Macaca fascicularis: one gene and its partner. The protein of the gene in region 2 interacts with the protein of the main gene of each other region in a biochemical or structural test. Links are inferred from orthologs where the notes say so. Each region holds a gene or a part of one and is shown on either strand. Other genes may lie near its edges.

Region 1 (3,650 bases), on a different chromosome or scaffold from region 2:
TGCTTGGCAGGGAGAGCCGGCTTCCCAACTCTGCAAGCCGGTTCCAGCCTCCCTTCTGCTGCAGTGCTTTCTCCTAAGATATTTTTTTGGAACCTGACACTCACTTGTTGCTTTCTGAGCATGTGGGCTTCCTTCTCTCCTAAGGACGGACCCCGAGACGCCCATCTGGGTTTCTGTTTTCTAGTTTGGTGTGTTTCCAGGTCCCAGGTAGAGGAATGTCAGTGGGATTCGCATGAATGGGGAGGGCATGAATGAAGGTGTAAGGGATGGGAGGGGTGGGGCTCCAGCCCAGCAGGGGGAAAGGGTTCCAGCTCACTGGTTCTCAGCCCTGGCTGCCCATTGGAATCACCTGGGGAGTCTGAAAGAATATTCCGATGTTTGTTCCCAGGGTAATTGGTCAGGGGGGTGCTGCCTGGACCTTGGGATTTTTCAAAGCCTCCAGGTGATTCTCAGATACTGTAAACTTTGAGAGACATGTCACGATCTCATGCTATCAGCAGCCACGGTGTGTGTGTTTGCGCGTGTGTTCGTGTGTGTTCTTATACTACGTTGGCGAGAAACTGGCAGAAAATAAACTAGAATGCAGTAAGATCAGCACTACTTATGTGGCAATGCCCAGGGGGCATGACGTTGCTCCAAGAGCCTCAGTGTGTGCCCGTCTGTCCCGTGGGGGATGCTCACCAGCCCCCAACCCCAGGGAGGACCTGGTGAGCTCTAGCAGCCAGCAGCAGTGGGGTCTGCTTCTTGGTGGGGATGGGGTGGACCGGAAGTCGGGTGCTGTGACCGCCTAAGCCCATCTCTATCTTCTCTGCCCCTTCCCTTTCTTCTTTCTGTCTCCAGCAGAGGCTGACCATGTGGAGGCTGCCATCCTCGAAGAAGACGAGGGTCTGGAGATAGAGGAGCCAAGTGGCCTGGGGCTGATGGTGGGTGGCCCCGACCCTGACCTGCTCACCTGTGGCCAGTGTCAAATGAACTTCCCCTTGGGGGACATCCTGGTTTTTATAGAGCACAAAAGGAAGCAGTGTGGCGGCAGCTTGGGTGCCTGCTATGACAAGGCCCTGGACAAGGACAGCCCGCCGCCCTCCTCACGCTCCGAGCTCAGGAAAGTGTCCGAGCCGGTGGAGATCGGGATCCAAGTCACCCCCGACGAAGATGACCACCTGCTCTCGCCCACGAAAGGCATCTGTCCCAAGCAGGAGAACATTGCAGGTATGGGATGCTGCGCTTGCCTGGTTGCTCCAGAAGGCACCTCCGGGGTCCCACGCCCTCTGTCTGAGTGTACTGGTGCAGGGGAAGGCCCAGGGGCTTCCAGGATGGCCTCTGGGCCACCAGCCAGGGCTCCCCCTTTCTGAGGGTCCACCATCCAGGTGACCTTCAGGAGGAGACAGGCCTGGGGCTCGGGGAGGCCCAAATGACTGATGGCTGCTTGCTTTTGGTGAGGGGACTCTGTCTCAGGGGCTAATCCAGAGGTGGTCAGAAGCACAGAATGAAAATTTGGAAGTCTGGTTGGCCCTCTCTTTGCTACTGATCTCGGCTTAGTCCCTGATTTTGAAGCTACACAGTCTTGGGTTAGAATTTGTCTTCACAACTTGGACATGTCAGTTTGCCCATCTATGAAATGGAGCTAAGGAAACCCACCTATTAGGGTTGCTGTGAGGATTAATGAGCTGTTGCATGCGGCGTGACCTGGTAGGCACTTAGGAATGGGAGTGCTTATTCTCTCCCCTCTCCTTTCTCTCTGGACTCAGTTTCCCATGTGTGAAAAGAGGAGTTAGGCCCCCTGATCTCAGACGTTGCTTCTGACGTTGCCTGACCCCAGGGGCCGGTCCCAGGCAGGGGTGTGGGAACTTGTTGGAGCACTGTGCCCGTTGGGGGAGGTTGGACATGCCCTTTGACATGCTCACTCATTCGACCACTGGGACAGCTGGTTTTACCACCTTGAGAACAGGTCTAGGGCCCCTCTGTCCCCAGGCATGGGTCTGCTCACCACAGCGAGTTAGCATGAAGTCCCTCCCTCTTGGCCAGCACCATGGCATGCTGGAACCTCTTCTGGGGAGCCACTGCTTTCTGTGCAAACCAGAGTGTTTGTTTCTGGTTTATACTTCTGAGCCCAGGAGGCCTGGGGGAGAAAGGAGGGCCTGGCCAGCCTGGGTTCCCTAAAAAGCAGCAGCCCGTCCTGGAGCAAGACGGGCATCAGAGTTTATGCAGACGAGTCTTCAAATCCTGATGGTTGACTTTGGGTTAGCCACTTCATGGGTCTGAGCCTCAGTTTCCCCATCTGTCAACAGAAATGGTAATACCAGCAGGCCTGGTGTGAGGATTAGATGAGCAGGGGCTCTTAATCAGTTTTTTGCCTGTGGCACTTCTCTCTCAGGGGCCTCCTCTGGCTCTGCGGCATGCAAGTAGGTGGCTGGCTGGGGAAACGAGTGCATTGATCATTACCATGCTTCCATCATGGAAGGTAGCATGGGCTCTGGAGGGACTCAGGCTTTGGATGCTTCTAGGAGGGTGAGACAGATGGGCTTGGGCACTCATCAACACCCATCACCCAGGACGCAGTCAGGGTAATGCTGCAAGCCTGTCTCCCCCAAGTCTCCAAAGCTTTGTGACACTGAGCCTCACTTTGCTCACCTGTACAAGGGACTTAGTGAGCCCTCTCTTTTGTGGGGAGACTGGTGGTATGTAGATTCCTGCAGCCTCCTGCCAGGCACTGGGGAGGCATCAGTGAACCAGATTGGCCTCTGGGCCTTGCCTTCTGATGGGTGCCCTAGCATGAAGTGTCTCATAAGCTTTCCAAGATGCAAGGGGCTTTGAGACATGTCCAGGCCACAGGCATGTAAACACTGGCTTCTCAGAGTGCTGTGAACACCCGAGCAGCGTCTCTTCCCCGGGCTGAGCCACCAGGCCAGAGAGGTGCTGGGTGCCTTTTGTCTTTGTTGATTGATGTTCTGGGGACAGTTTCACCTGTAGTGTCAATGCCTGGCCTCAGTGCACATAGATCTTTCAGGGGTGGCCTTGCCAGGGAGACTTGGGCCACCTATTTATGTTTCAATGGAAAGATTTGCTGCTTTTGCCAAAAACATCCAAATCCTCATTTCACATTGAAGGCATTTCCCAGTGAGAGGCTGCAGATCACTGTGGCAGGTTTGTTTAAGAAAGTGACTAAATGTGATTTCATAAAAGGCAAAGTTAATCTCCAAGGCAGCTTTGTCCTCATCCTTCCACCCTCTGGCCCCCCTGTTTTTTTTTTTTTTTTTCCTGGGTTGTGATACTGCAGCAGGCTACAGTATTTTTATTTTATGTGTGACGAAAGATATTCTTGGCCTTTCTGTTCAGCAACAGGACGAATGGATTTCTTCATTCTAGAAGAAATATGTAAAATAATCCCTTAGAAGTCTAAAGAGATATGTTTGTTCAAAGCATTTAAAATGTTATTTTAATCAAAGGCACAAAACAGTCTACATGCTGTGTCAGCTGAAGACGACCATCCCATTTTAACAGCACACCATGCGTCTGCCTTTCTAGTTCCCATTCCTCCTATTTCCCTGCCTACTTGGGCACCAACTTTTCTTTTCTTTTCTTATTTAATAAAAAGGAAAGATTAAAGAATAAAACTTCAGTGGCTCAAATGTATAAAGTAATTTAATATG
Region 2 (3,650 bases):
TTTCACCCCTCTACTTTGAAAGGAAAGTTTGTGACTGAACCGTGCTTTCATAGTTGTGTCATTTTTTTTAAAGCATGATACTCGTTTTATTTCTTCATCAAACTCCACCCTCTGCTTAAATACTGCATACAAATTACAATTTACAACGGCATTTACCGATCCTTCTGATTTGGCCATAATGCATAGACTGCAGCTGGCATGAGCTTCCACATCATTTAATCCCTGTGTTGTATGGCTTTGTTTTTTAAAAAAACACAACTTTTGATGTTGTATTTGGATATGCTTCATGTTCATGTGGCAAGAGATGCAGTACTTTTCTTATAACTATATTTAGCCGTTTACAGTTAAACTTTATCTCTTGACAATCATTAAAGATGTCTTATAGTCAAATTAGCGAACCAGTCAATTTTGCAGAATGCAGATTACTCCTTCTTGTAATTGACTTTAAAATTATATTTTATATGCCACAAGAAAAGAAATTGAATTCCTTCAGATCTTAAGGAGCAGACAAATATGACTACTTCATTTCTAGCTCCAGGGAGATTTTGTAGGCATCTGAAAGAAAAAAAAAAAAAAACAACTTTGAATTGTACTCTCACTTAATTGAAAAATAACTGCCAAGTTCAAAACTATAATTAGAAAAAAGTATTCTAGCCATTATGTTTCAAGAGCTTAAATTGCACTGGAACTTGCATTAAAATTAGAATCAAAGCAAACTTCAGAAAATAGAGCAAAACCTGAAATAAGACAGCTACATGTACATGAACATATCTATATTAATTTGTTGGGGGGAAGAGTTCAGTAGCCCTAACTTCTCCTAAAGTTGTCTTTGTTTACATGGCAATTTAAAACGCTGGCACTGTTGAAGTAAAACATACACATTAAAAAAAAAAAAAAAAAAAAAAACTTTGGTCAGCTTTAAGAACTCAAAGCATGCTTACGTTTTGCATTCAGATGGTTAATGAATCCAGTGTTTTTGCAGTTGAAAGCTCGTGCATTCACTGGGCAAAAGCTGGCTGCAGGTTGCAGTGGCACCGCGCAGGACAGACATTAATTATATTTCCTACTTTTTTCAATAATGTTTGGCTACTGTAAGTTCAACTTTTTTTCTTGAAAATTTTCAATTTTCTGTTGCTTTTAATAGTGAGAACTTTGTATGGGGCGACGGGGAGGAGAGGAGAAGGGAGGGGCGCAGGATACTTGTTCTCTACTCAAAAGTTGTAAGTGGTTAGTAGGATATGTAACTTGTGTCTATTTTAAGAATTATTCTATAGCATTTTAAGAGAATGTGGAAACATTTTATCAGCAAAACGCTGCTTGCTTGCAAATGAGGAGGCCGCTAGGCATTTGCCTAGAACCACAACCTTTCTCCGGTTTCGCCTTTTTTTAACCTTGATTTTTTTCCCCCCCATTCTGGAGGGGTGAGTGGGGTTTCATTTATCTGTGTGTTCCCCCTTGGTGGCTTAGGGGTTGGGTGACACTTTCTTGACCTTGCCAGGGTGGGGGCCCTGTAGTCAGGCCTAGCTCCGGCGGGGCTGAGGTGGCCAAGGGCTCAGGCGATGGCTGGACACATCGAGCTGTGGAGCTGGAGGGCCTCACCCCAGATCTCCTAGCGGTGTGGACTGTGAGAGCGAGCCGGAGAAGATGCGCGGGGCGCGTGTGGCTGCGGGAAGAGCTTCTGCATTGTGTTGGGTACGCTGCGGCGCGGCAATGTTCGCAAGCCCCCTGGATGCACATTGCCTCTTTTCTCTCTTTCTTTTTGTCAGCGGTTCAGCGAGGAAGAATGCCTCCAACCCAGCCCAATCCAGGCCAGTACGCACTCACCAACGGGGACCCCCTCAACGGCCACTGCTACCTGTCCGGCTACATCTCGCTGCTGCTGCGCGCCGAGCCCTACCCCACGTCGCGCTACGGCAGCCAGTGCATGCAGCCCAACAACATTATGGGCATCGAGAACATCTGCGAGCTGGCGGCGCGCCTGCTCTTCAGCGCCGTCGAGTGGGCCCGCAACATCCCCTTCTTCCCGGATCTGCAGATCACCGACCAGGTGTCCCTGCTACGCCTCACCTGGAGCGAGCTGTTCGTGCTCAACGCGGCCCAGTGCTCTATGCCGCTGCACGTGGCGCCGCTGCTGGCCGCCGCCGGCCTGCACGCCTCGCCCATGTCCGCCGACCGCGTCGTGGCCTTCATGGACCACATCCGCATCTTCCAGGAGCAGGTGGAGAAGCTCAAGGCGCTGCACGTCGACTCGGCCGAGTACAGCTGCCTCAAAGCCATCGTGCTGTTCACGTCAGGTGAGGCTGCGGTCGCGGGGAGGGCAGGCCGCGCCGGCGGCGAGCGCAGGCCCAGCGCCGCCCGGGCCTGGCCTTCGGAGCCTCCCGCGCAGCCGGTGCGTGTCGGGTCGGGCCCTTGCTGTGCACTGAGCCTGGCCGGGGTCTGGTGACCCCCGCGCGGGGACCGGCCAGCCGCGCCGCTGCCATCTTGGGAGCGCGGCGGTGCGGGAACCGAGGCGGCGCGGGTGCGGCCGGCGGGCGGCCGGGCCTGGTCGCGCGGACCCCTACCTGGGGCCGCGGCTGCCGCTGGTGTGTGTCTGAGGCGGGGGGGGGGGGGGGGCCGGGGGGCGGTGCTGTGGATCCGTCTGGCTGCGTGTGTGTGTGTGTGTGTGTGTGTGTGTGTGTGTGTGTGTGTATGTGTGTGTGTGTGGTGCGTGTTATGTGTGAGCCAGAGCTCAGCGTTTCTGGGGGAGGCGAGGGAAGGAAGAGAACGTGGGAATGTGGCTTCTTACCCTTTGTGGCACGCTCCTTGGATGAGTTTCCCGACACAGAGAGACACAGAGAGAGGTGGAAAGAGAAGAATACGCACAAATAAATCATAAATAATCCCGCTTTATCGCTGCCTGATTTTCCCTTATCGGAAACCATTCATGTTTGCAGTTGCTGAGGTTATTGAGGGTCGTAAAAAACGGATTCGATCTAAACAAGAAAGATAAAAAACAAAGGCAATACTGTAGAACCCGCAAGTATGGGAGGATTCCCCGCCTGGAGATGAATTCCAAAGCTATGCAAAACACATGAAGGTTGGAAATTTAACAGAGTGACTTTAAAAATATCAAATTATGTGTAGGCAGTGGTAACATGTATGTTAACAATTTCTCTTATGATAGATGGTTCAAATTAACTTCCAGGAAAGTGCATTAACGTTTCCTTTGAAGGGCTCTGGTCTGAGCCTCTGAGAACATTGCCGGCTTTTTATTATTATAACATGCAAGAGGGAAACATATAAACACCCAGGACAGCAGGTAATGGGGAGAAATAGAAACAAAGCCAGAGAGGACGCTGGTGGGAAGTAGTGCTGCTTACACTGGGTCTTGGGCCCTGACCACTGTGAGTAGGGTTAGCTGCAGTTTTACCACCATTATTGGCAGTATTGTTTTTAATTCCTCCATTCGGAGAACAAATAAACCATCCCAATAAATCTGTCCTAAAGCCAGGCTTTCCAATGGCCAAATTAAAACCATTCTTGAACAGAGATACCAAAATCCCTTTCCTAAGGCCTTGTTGAACAGTAAGCAATGGTATAATCTATCAATATTTCTTGGCTTTCATGCGTGAAGAATCGTATTTACATTGTATTAAAATGACTCTTAAATT

The links. The genes of interacting proteins can lie anywhere in the genome.
Region 1: the proteins of NR2F1 (region 2) and BCL11B form a complex in vitro, tested with the Homo sapiens proteins (2 studies listed by BioGRID). The link is inferred for Macaca fascicularis from reciprocal best matches to the Homo sapiens genes NR2F1 and BCL11B.

What each region holds. Positions count from the first base shown.
Region 1 is NC_088381.1:167,329,698-167,333,347, reverse strand, and holds part of BCL11B (B-cell lymphoma/leukemia 11B), read left to right. Parts: intron 1-840; coding exon 841-1,209; intron 1,210-3,650. UniProt on the Homo sapiens protein: Key regulator of both differentiation and survival of T-lymphocytes during thymocyte development in mammals.
Region 2 is NC_088380.1:97,588,458-97,592,107, forward strand, and holds part of NR2F1 (COUP transcription factor 1), read left to right. Parts: intron 1-978; exon of another isoform or gene 979-1,078; coding exon of another isoform or gene 1,079-1,091; intron 1,092-1,766; coding exon 1,767-2,294; intron 2,295-3,650. UniProt on the Homo sapiens protein: Coup (chicken ovalbumin upstream promoter) transcription factor binds to the ovalbumin promoter and, in conjunction with another protein (S300-II) stimulates initiation of transcription. Binds to both direct repeats and palindromes of the 5'-AGGTCA-3' motif.